Nothobranchius furzeri: one gene and its partners. The protein of the gene in region 1 purifies or fractionates together with the protein of each later gene. This does not show direct contact. Links are inferred from orthologs where the notes say so. Each region holds a gene or a part of one and is shown in the gene's direction. Other genes may lie near its edges.

Region 1 (4,173 bases):
GAAAAATGTTTTAACAGTTTCATTATTTACCATCAAAATTTGACTCTGGTAGCCCTGTCATGCCACTCCTTATATCTCATTTTGTTAAAAAGAACGACAACGTGTTTTAACTGGAGGAACACATTCCTTCGTAGAAAAAACCTGCACTAGGGGCGAATGGAGACCCATCCAAAATGGTGGTCCGCTACCACGCAGCTCAATTTTTTTCTTCAAACTTTATTGAGACATATCAATGGCACAAACAATCCGTGTCGCCTCTCCGTATTTCTCTTCAAAACACCGAAAGTCACCAAAAATCACCCTTACCCTACCATAATAATAATAATTACCCTACCATTGTGCGGCAATGTCCACTTAAGTCTGGCATCTTTCATGGCTCGGTACTGGGTTGAACTCCCGCCCTTAACATTAACAAGATGGTGGCGCTGTTGACGTAAATGTAGAAGCGAAAAGCGGCATCTAGCTTTAGCATTTCTTAATGGTTATTAACATAAAATGCTTCTCTTTACAAAAAATAATTCCACATTTAGATAATAAAACGTTTCAATCGCTGCTTAACTAACAACAAACACATCAGTGATAGCTACTTACCTTGGCTAGCATCAACATTATAGCTCACATCCTACAGAACCCAGCGTTAGCATAGCAGTTAGTGCCGTGGCTAACAATATCTGTGATCTTTTAAACATTAGACAATTACAATGGTCTATATCAGAGTAACGTTAGTATTAGATGTTTCAAAAAGAGCCCAACAATTTCTACTATCGCAGAATTTGCGTCTCCGTGTATGTTACAGCCGAACTGCTATGCACACAGATGTGGGTGAAAGCTAACTGGAGCGTCTCGCTTGCTACCGGGAGAGATAATGTTACGTCCTTGTTTTAAATTAGGCTATATCACTAACAAAATCCAGGGTGACTGTAAAATATGTGTAATTCCGCATAAATGTACTTACCGTTCTCCACCAACACAGTGCTTCATATCCTGAACATGTGCTGTTGAAAATGTCCGCCTGAGAAAAAGTGAGGAACTGTGGGAGGTTTACACGTCATCAAGTTTTATTTTACATCGACACAACTTAAAATTATATTGTGTTTTGATTAACTGATCATTTTAAATTCAGACTAATCATAATTATATATTGAGTAAAAAGGCTAAATTTGTGTGTTACCTGAACTCAATATAATACAATTTCTAATTAAGAAGTCTAACAGTGTTTATGAACTTGATTTTTCATTTCACAACAACATATATATTTAAGCAATGACTAAAGGTCCCATTAATTACTTTTTAAAAATACCTCATAAAGTCGTTTCTCGCATATCCGTCCAGCAGGTGGCGGAGATCCACAATTGAGCTGGTTTGACAGCTGACTGTACAGATAAAAGAAGAAGAAGAGAAACACGTGATTCACGCTAGCTAGCATCAAAATGGCGGTGGCGGTGCGGAGCTTACAAGATCAGCTCGAAAAAGCCAAAGAAAGCTTGAAAAGCGTGGATGATAATATTCGCAAACTGACTGGACGAGACCCAAATGAGTCAAGGTAAAAACTAAAATAAAAAACTATGTTTGGACAACGATGTGTAATCGTGCTTGCTAACCCGCTAGCATTTAAGCTACGTGTGCTAAAGTAGCATGATGTCGCCTTAGAGCAGAGAAATCCAATCGGAGTTGTTTTATTTGTAAAACTGATTTTATTTTTTCTGTGTAAATTAAGCTAATCTGGTGTTTGGTGTGATTAGTTGAATGCAGAAAATAAGCAAAGTTTAGGCCCAAACTCAATGTTGTCTGGGTGTCACCTTTATTATTATCGGGGTTTCTGGCGACGAATAAACTACACATTTGACTGACTTTAGTTTCAAGCGCAGTTGTAGTGCTGATTTGTTGTTTTTTTTAATTTTCCGTTTACAGACCGGGTCAGATCCGCCGGCTCAGCGGCCCCATGGCAGCAGGCCTGGGAGGAGGTAGAGGCAGAGGACTCAACCTGCTCAGGTAAAACTTCCCACTCCAGTCAAAAACGCTGATGGTGCCTCCTTCAACGATGCAGCTGATTCAAACTTGACTTCCTTTGTTGGAGCTTATGTAATAAGTTAACACCTTTGTGTTATAAACACCAAACAGGAAGTTGATGAAGTTGGTTATAAACAAGACAAAAACCACATAGAAAACGGCTATAAAACTACACGGATTAATGTTACACTGAAACGGGAGCATAAAGATTTATTTGGCAGACCCATCTATTCAAAGTATTTTAGGATGCAGTAAATTAACCCAACATGCACGCTTTTGGTCTGTGGGAGGAAACCTTTGCACCAGGCCATCACATCACACATGCATGAGAACATGCTAATTCTGTGCAAAAAGGCAGCAGCCAGGTTTTTAACCTGCAACCTTCTTGCTGGTAGTCAGCTGTGCTTCCAACTGCTCCATTAAATAAAGGCATTATTTTGTTTCTCATGTGACTGCATAAGTTTTAAACCTTTCATTGGGAATTGCATACAAGTCTATTATTTCCCGAAGAGTACCAGGTGTGTCTTTAAGGAAATAAAACCAAAAACAGACTGGGTGTATGTGAACTCGCCTCATGACCGAATCTGATTGTCCTGTTTGGCTTTAAGCCCTATTTTTTTTTTTTTTATCCCTATGTTGTGTTCCTTCACAGGCGTAGTCTCTCAGACATGGGGAGCGGAGGCCCTCCTGCCAAGCAGAGGGACATTCAAGGAGCCCTGTTGAGGTGAGATCTTTAAAATTTTTTTTAACTTTAAATAAATAAATAAATTCACCAGTTTGTGTGGAAAGTTCCTGCAAGATTGCCACATTTGGATCAGAGTGACCACGGTTTGTTTTTTGTATTTTACTACACATCTGTTTTACTGTGTTTTCTTTATGCTATGTTCAGCACCTTGGGTCTGCTTGATTGGGGGTAGGAAAGGGCTTTATAAATAAACTTGAAAGTCATCTGTTGCATGATTTTTTTTTTTAATGTAGCACAAGCATCACCTGCTGTTGTTGAAACCCTTTGACTTTTGGAGGCGTGCTGCTGATTTTGAAGCAGTCGGATGCTTTTTAAGTTCATTCAGATTGTTTTATTTTTGTGTTTGCAGGCTGGCAGGAGATCAGAGGGCCAGGAGAGACGCGCGTCACGACAGCGACGCCGAGGATGATGACGATGTCAAAAAAGTAGGGCTGGGTGTCTTATTCCTCTATTTATATGTGCAGAACTCCATTAATTAGTTTCATTTATTTATGAAAGCATAATTTGTTTGCCTTTTTCACAATTGTACGTCGTCTTTTAGCCGGCGTTGCAGTCGTCAGTTGTAGCTACCTCCAAGGAGCGAACACGCCGAGATCTCATCCAGGATCAGACTATGGATGAAAAGGGCAAACAGAGGTAGGCCAACACCGTTCTTCAGCTCTAGATTTGCACCCAGGCCTTTTAAACCCTTTTTATAGAATATTAATCTTTTAAGTAGATAACCATGTAAGGAAAATTTAGAGAAATTGAAACATCCTTCTCAGGAATCGGCGTATGTTTGGCCTGCTGATGGGAACGCTGCAGAAATTCAAGCAGGAATCAAACGAGTCTTCAGATAAGGTGAGGGTGCTCCTGAGGTGGCCGAGGTCAGCCTGGATCATGTTGTTTTGGAGGGTTGTTGGTTTTTTTCTTCTTCCTGCTTATCGCTGACATCATCTGTTCACGGTGCAGCTGAAGAGACGCTCCGAGATCGAGCAGAAGCTCGAGGTTCAAGCTGAGGCTGAGAAAAAGAAGGTGGAGAACGAAAAGAGAGAACTGTTTGAAGAGAGGAGAGCCAAGCAGACTGAGCTGAGACTGCTGGAACAGAAAGTGGAATTGGCTCAGCTGGTGAGAAAATATTTTGCGTGCGTTTCTCAGGGTTTTTCCTGCGTTCAAATTTGCGTGGCGGCCGCCTCCAGCTAATTTGGTGCCGCCCCAGCCTGATTTCACTCTGCCCCCAGCTATATGGATGTTATTTTAACTGCAGTTGCACCACTACAGGGGTGCTGTATCCGCAGCGGTGCACCGAAAAGCACTAAAACCGCTGCTGACAAAGATCAAAAATTGTTTTTCTCGCTAGTTGGTACAGATCTGTGGTTGGTGCTATTCACGTCCTGATTCCCCCCCAGGCTCTTCCATATCAGAGCAGGGCTGTACAG
Region 2 (3,356 bases), on another chromosome or scaffold:
ATTTATATTTTTTAAAAGTTTTTTTAGGGTGTAAAAGTGGTGCTTTTACCATTCCTCACATCCAGCTGCACTCGTTGAGATTTTTCCGTGTTTATGTTTATAGGGGAGGAGCTCATGTTGCTTTGAAAATTATCAAGAATGTTGAGAAATACAAGGAAGCAGCTCGACTGGAGATCAACGTACTGGAGAAGATAAATGAGAAGGATCCGGATAACAAGTTGTGAGTTCAGACTGTTCTGTGATGGGAAGCATTTTTTAGCATTCCCTTAACCTGGTCACACCAGTACTCTGTCATACAAATACTACACAGTTACATCTTTTTGTGTTGCAGCTTGTGCGTTCAGATGTACGACTGGTTCGACTACCACGGCCACATGTGTATCTCCTTTGAGCTGCTGGCTCTCAGCACCTTTGACTTTCTGAAGGAGAACAACTATCTTCCCTACTCGATCGGTCAGGTCAGGCACATGGCCTACCAGATCTGCCTAGCTGTGAAATGTAAGCTACGTTTACCTCAGAAGACCCTCACAAATAAAAAGATCCAATGAGAAGCAGAGCTTATTGTGTTAGGGGTAAATCTGGCTGCATTCTTACTCTGTCTACTGTTAGGACATGAGTTATTATCAGATGTTTTGTATTTGCAGCATGAAGTTGAATTAGTTTAAAATGTGACCTTAAATGAGCTCTTTGATGATTTTTTTCTGTAGTTCTTCATGACAATAAGCTGACACACACAGACCTGAAGCCAGAAAATATCCTGTTTGTCAACTCGGACTTCACAATGACCTACAATGTAGAGAAGGTAAGAGACGTGTCCCAAACCAAGTCTTTGTCCCCGCGTGAACATGATACACCTTTAGCTTTGACTCTGGCGTTGTTTCGGTAAGCTCCTGGAGCGTCCTTCCATTTCCATTCAGTTTCGCATTCGTTTTTCACCAAGATCTTGTTTGATGGGGAAATCTGACAACTGTGCGAAGCCTTCTCCAGCAAAGATTCCCCGTGGACCCCTCCCAATGTCTTAAAATATCCCTGCGTCACGAGGGAAGGAAACATCCATTAATCCATCCACCTGGTAGTCAGCTGACCTCATCGTCGGGGGTCATAACGCTGCTGAACCTAGACCTGACCTACTGCAGCAACCCCAGATCATAGACTGCCCCCACAGGCTTGTAGGCATGATGGATTCATTACTTCATTCATCAGACCACCGGACCATCTACCAGACGCCAGCCTCGATGCTCACATCTCGGAGGTTTTCTCACGGCTGTTCCCGTTGCACTGTGCACATGGAACACGTGGCATCTGTTATTTTTCTTCCATTGGTTTTAAGATGATCACGATTATTCAGTTTTTTTTAAACGTATGGTTTCCTGCAGCTCTTCTTGGTTTTAATGATTCAGTGGATGTTTCTTCACCCATTTGTAGTCGTTTCTGTTTTTTCCTTACATGCTTTTTCTGCTTGGTGATCCGACCCTTCTAAAGCAGACTTGCATCAATTCATTGGTTCAATAATGCAAAGATTATCCAATAGGAGGCTCCTATCTACTGGTAGTGTATTTATTTTTTGCTCCCTGTTGTATCCACGTTCGACCTCAAGAGGGAACTGAAAGGGTTTCTCTTTCACCTTATGAAGCCACGTTGACAGAATCTTTGGTTTATGCTTTGTTTGTAATCTAAATCGACGTGTGGTCTAAACTTGAGTGTGTATATATGTTTTCCTTTTAGAGGTGACTTGTCTGCTGATTACATGATGTAATCATATTTATCATGAAACCAGTCAGAAGGAAGTAATTTGCAGCTTTATTGGTTCTGTAATGTAGTTCATTGGTTCCCAAACTTGCAGAAACGGGAGGAGCGGACGGTAAAAAGCACAGCAGTTCGAGTCGTGGACTTTGGAAGTGCCACTTTTGACCACGAGCATCACAGCACCATCGTGTCCACGCGGCATTACCGCGCCCCGGAGGTCATACTAGGTGAGCCGACTTTGAGCCTAGTTGAGTTTTCTGATTACTTTAAAAAACAAAGAAGTCACTTAGAAATGAAGCCAAACAAGCAGTTTTTAAGCTCTAACATTAACAAACGTGTTCTTTAGAACTGGGCTGGAGTCACCCGTGTGACGTCTGGAGTATTGGCTGTATCCTGTTTGAGTACTACTTAGGCTTCACGTTGTTTCAGGTAAACAACTCTGACTGAAACGTTTAAAACGGATCAAAATATCCACTGATGTTTTATCGTATCGTTTTTGTTTGTTTAGACTCATGACAACAGGGAACATCTGGCCATGATGGAGAGAATCCTGGGTCCAGTGCCCTCTAGGATGATCCGTAAGACCAGGCAAGAAGGAACAAACATGAACGTTTTAAACTTCATAGAAAAGATTTAGTTCTTACTTTGGTCACTTTAAACACTCAGGAAGCAGAAGTATTTCCATCGTGGCCGTCTGGATTGGGACGAGACCTCGTCGTCGGGGAAATATGTCAGAGAAAACTGTAAACCGTTACGAGTAAGTGGGAGGAAATAAACTAGCATTTGAAGCTCTGTGTTTATACTTAACTGACCTTTTTTGTTGTTTTCCATCAGCGGTACCTGCTGTCAGAGGCAGAGGATCACCATCAGTTTTTTGATCTAATCGAGGGCATGTTGGAGTACGAACCCACCAAGAGATTAGCGCTGGCCGACTCCCTCAAGCACCCTTTTTTTGAGAACATGGGTCACGGTGAGGGAGGCGGCAGCAAGACCTGGGAGGGCAATCGAGACATCAGCCGGTGACCCATAAACACGAAAGACTGAACCCCGCGGAGATCGAGTCCTTTCCATGTGAAGCAGCTGAACTGTCAAATAAACTCGGACTTTGTAGGTGTTTTTTATTTCAACTCTTTCTAAAAGCATGGAGGTCTCCGAGCCCTGCTCCCCCGAGACCCGCCTCTACAGTCACATGAGAAAGACCAGAATAAACGTAACGAGTCACAGCGTGAAAGAAAAAAACGCTTGGATGGAAGGTCGCTTTACCCAAAGTAGCCCTCCATGCAGCTCCTGTCTTCCTTTTGACTCGTGAACTCCTTCTCTCTCCATCTCCCTAAAGAAAAGGAACACTTCTAAAGTCACTAAGTCCACCTCCCCTCCCACGTGGAGCTGAAATCTTCCAGATCTGAAGTCCCAACAAAAGGGTAAAAATCAGACGGAGCTGTAAATGAACTTCTCTCCGGGGTAGTTTTAGTTCTAAACATATTCTCTCGTCAACAATCAGTCTTGCATCTTTTCTCCGAAGCTGCAAGTGTCTTCAGAATAGACATATCACCATTTATTTTTATTTATGTCTCTATGTCCGTAAGGAATTTTCCCTCCATGGTGAACCG
Region 3 (3,500 bases), on another chromosome or scaffold:
CCCGGATCCTAATTTTACTTAAAAGGTAAAAAAAAAAAGGGCATTTGTTTTTTTTAGCAGCTGTGATGATTCCGGTTTGTGCATCATTCTTATTTATAAAGTGTCAATAAAGTTGTGCTACAAAGAAAGCGAATGGGCTGGGATAATTATCATAAAAGGAACTAACAGAGAAGTTGATGTGCTCTGGATGACGAACACGTGGGAAAAAAATCATGTAATGTAGTCAATATATTTAGGATTATTACCGTATTTTCGGAGTATAAATCGAATCAGCCATAAAATGTATAATGAAGGAAAAAAACATATATAAGTCGCATTTTTGGGGTGAAATTTTATTATTTTTCTTACAAAATCTGTGACCAAGCATTTCACATTGCAAGACAAGTCCCGTTAACTATAACAGAATAAACAATCAGGGTGCAGCAGCATACCACAATCTCCAGCAGAGGATGGCGGTGTTTCAAACCCTCCCAGCGGGACGGGGGAGCTCATTCCTGGGGTCTCATTTATCAAACATTACGTAGAATCCTTACTAAAACCTCAGCAAAAAAAAAAGTACTTACGCCAAGTAGGTTTGTGATCTATCAAACATGGAGCACGCACAGCTGCACGCAATCTCCGCTTCATAAATCAGAAACTATCTAGAAAGGTTCTCAGCTGCTTTTTAGTCACATCCCGCCCTCACCACACCCACTTACTGCCATATAGTCAATGCAAAGTGCCTTGTTGCAGCGCTCCGCCAAAGGCAACCGTAGATCAAGGCAGATCAAGGAAGCACAATTTCACAGAAGCAGAAATTGAGATACCTGTGGGTGAGGTGGAGAAATGAAAGGAAGTGCTTTTGCAAAACAAATAATGAAAATCCACGGAGTGGCACAGCGTTGCTGAAGCCGTCAATGTTGTGAATTCTTCAGAGAGATCTGTGGCGGATATAAAAAACATGGTCCAATAGGGATTCGATCCCTAGACTCCAAGGTGAAAGTCACACATGCTAACCAGTCAGCCAAACAGAGATCTCCCTTGTCCAAGTAGCCGGGGCGCATGATCAATCAGGTCACAGTGACAGGACACACACTGTCACAGACGCATGACATTCTGTCTCAATCTGTCCCCCTGCTGATATTCTGCATTCCGTATTCTCCGCTTCAGGGTGTGTGTGTGTGTGTGTGTGTGTGTGTGTGTGTGTGTGTGTGTGTGTGTGTGCGCGTGCGTGTGTGCGCGCGCGCGCGTGTGTGTGTGCGCGCGCGCGCGCGTGCGTGTGTGTGTGTGTGCGCGTGTGGGGGGTCTTGTTCTGTGTGAAAACGAAGCAGTACAAGTGATAATGCTGCAGGATTTCATAACTTTGTCCTTCTCAGCAGCAGCACTGCAGGTGCTCTCCATGTCCAACATGTGTGTAAGCCAGGTCCTTAGTCAACTTAAAGTTGCGCACATTTTTTCGCTAAGTTTTCTTTCATAAATCCCAACGTTTGCGTGGAAAGTTGCTCACGCAGTTTTCCGTCCTCATTTTGTGCGTAAGCAAGCTTGATAAATGAGGCCCCCAGGTCCGGAGCCGGCCCGCAGCAGCGTGGTGTATATTATTTGGTATATAAGCAGCAGGACCAGCCAGACTATGAAAAAAGTGCGACTCATAATTTGGAAAATACGGTAGCTTCATAATTTTATTCATTCTCAAGTTATCCCATACCCTCCCATTAAAGACAAAAGAACGGCCGTCACTGAAATATGTACAAATAACAAAAGTTCTAATGAATCCAAACGTAGTGAAATTCATGACATCACTTTTAAACTGTGGTTCAACAGAAATATTTAAAATCAAGCATGATGGACCCAGAAACTAAAGCTGTTGAACAGCCTCTGCAGCTAGATGATTCCTGTGGCTCAGACGCACCTGTTGACAGGTGTTCTGACTCATCTTGGACAGTTTATTTGTTTTTTTTTCTTATTATTCTTTTCAACCAAAAGCAAAGGTTTTTTCAAGGCTCAAGATTAGTTTATTTGCCCAAGTATTCACCACTCTGAATGCACCTAAACCCGTGCAATCATACACTTTCAGATGCCAACAGAGTTTTATGGTACCGTTGTACAATGACAGTAAGGCTTCCTAATTATTTTAGCTTAATTATAATTTAACAAATTGTATTTGTCATATTTAGAGTTTTGTAATTATTTCTGTGACTGTCAGAATTTTCTCTGTTCTGTAAAAAAAAAGAGGGACATGAACAAGTTTGAGGATTACTAAAAATGGCTCATATGTAAATGGAACGTCCTGAAGAGGATTTGTTTTCTCAGTATTGTACAGGAACCAGCAACATATTTATTATCAGTTCGTAAGCATAACTTGCTTCATCACTTATCTGTCCCACTGTTCAGGCACACAGCAGCAAAAATGTAAACAAACATGTCCGCCACACGTTCACTCCATGAGAGAGATGGAGTTATGAACACTTCGGCTTGTATAAATGCATTAACACGAGTTCTGGACGGAGTGAGGCGAGATTTTAAGGCTCACAGCAGAAATAAAAACGAGGAGCATCAATAAACTCGTCTGTGTGAGCGTGACTGTCAGAAGGCTGAGCAATAACCTCTAAGGATAAGAAATAGGAGATATTTTTGTATTTTTTCAACCGTTTAGTCAGTTTTAATGTTTTAAATGTGTTAGTTACTGACAGCGGCTACATTTCAGTTTCCTTTCTGGTGACGTTACATCTCCACATCTGACCCATCCCCGTGGGGAGCGGTGGCTGTTTGGTGGCTTAACCCCCCCAATCCAAGCCTTTAAAGCCAAGCGTGAAGCAGGGAGGCGTTGGGTCCCAGTGTTGGTCTTTGGTATGACCCGACTGGGATTTGAACCCCGATCTCCAAGTCCCAGGGCGGATACCACTAGGTCACTGAGAAGGTCCCCAGTTAGCAGCCCAGGCTCCCCGTAGAGGGCGGCCTCCGTTTGGTCGGACCGCGGTTCGACCCACAGTGATGATTTTGCCAGTGCAGCGCCAAGCTAACCTCCCCAACCCCACACCACCCAGGTTTAGCCGCACCACCTACAGGAAATAAAGGATATTATTCTTATTTATCAGGAGGGAAACTGCTTTCTGTCCATCTGATTTGATCACGTCGCACACCAGTCAGCTGTTAATTATCTCATCCTCTTACCCACAATCCTCTGCTTCCTGTCCCTCAGCTGACCTGGTCAACCTGCCCGAGGAGCCCATCAAAGAGGAGGAGGAGGAGGAGGAAGAAGAGCAGGAGGACCAAGACGAGGACATGGACTCGGATGACAGGGTAGTGGAGTACAAGGAAAGGGGCGGAGACTCAAGGACGGTGGGGGCAGGGCTTTGCAGTAGAGCAGAGCGCTCCCCGTCTCCATGGTCGGAGTCGGATGAGATGGACTACGACCTGGAGCTGAAGATGATCTCCACACCATCACCCAAGAAGACCAAGAAGATGACCATGTACGCTGACGAGCTGGAGACTCAGCTGAAGACCATCCGGTCAGAGACGCT

The links. The genes of interacting proteins can lie anywhere in the genome.
Region 2: the proteins of pnn (region 1) and clk2a purify together in Homo sapiens (affinity purification with mass spectrometry; 3 studies listed by BioGRID and IntAct, counting the BioPlex papers as one, with this or other methods). This does not show direct contact. The link is inferred for Nothobranchius furzeri from reciprocal best matches to the Homo sapiens genes PNN and CLK2.
Region 3: the proteins of pnn (region 1) and ncbp3 purify together in Homo sapiens (co-immunoprecipitation; 3 studies listed by BioGRID and IntAct, counting the BioPlex papers as one, with this or other methods). This does not show direct contact. The link is inferred for Nothobranchius furzeri from reciprocal best matches to the Homo sapiens genes PNN and NCBP3.

The regions. Positions count from the first base shown.
Region 1 is NC_091758.1:40,470,144-40,474,316, forward strand, and holds the start of pnn (pinin), read left to right. Parts: upstream 1-1,373; 5' UTR 1,374-1,430; coding exon 1,431-1,543; intron 1,544-1,911; coding exon 1,912-1,992; intron 1,993-2,662; coding exon 2,663-2,734; intron 2,735-3,104; coding exon 3,105-3,180; intron 3,181-3,296; coding exon 3,297-3,391; intron 3,392-3,519; coding exon 3,520-3,595; intron 3,596-3,706; coding exon 3,707-3,862; intron 3,863-4,173. UniProt on the Homo sapiens protein: Transcriptional activator binding to the E-box 1 core sequence of the E-cadherin promoter gene; the core-binding sequence is 5'CAGGTG-3'. Capable of reversing CTBP1-mediated transcription repression.
Region 2 is NC_091759.1:6,934,917-6,938,272, forward strand, and holds the end of clk2a (dual specificity protein kinase CLK2), read left to right. Parts: intron 1-103; coding exon 104-220; intron 221-331; coding exon 332-498; intron 499-707; coding exon 708-802; intron 803-1,843; coding exon 1,844-1,973; intron 1,974-2,092; coding exon 2,093-2,175; intron 2,176-2,254; coding exon 2,255-2,334; intron 2,335-2,412; coding exon 2,413-2,503; intron 2,504-2,580; coding exon 2,581-2,769; 3' UTR 2,770-2,856; downstream 2,857-3,356. UniProt on the Homo sapiens protein: Dual specificity kinase acting on both serine/threonine and tyrosine-containing substrates. Phosphorylates serine- and arginine-rich (SR) proteins of the spliceosomal complex.
Region 3 is NC_091750.1:26,022,312-26,025,811, reverse strand, and holds part of ncbp3 (nuclear cap-binding protein subunit 3), read left to right. Parts: intron 1-3,178; coding exon 3,179-3,488; intron 3,489-3,500. UniProt on the Homo sapiens protein: Associates with NCBP1/CBP80 to form an alternative cap-binding complex (CBC) which plays a key role in mRNA export. NCBP3 serves as adapter protein linking the capped RNAs (m7GpppG-capped RNA) to NCBP1/CBP80.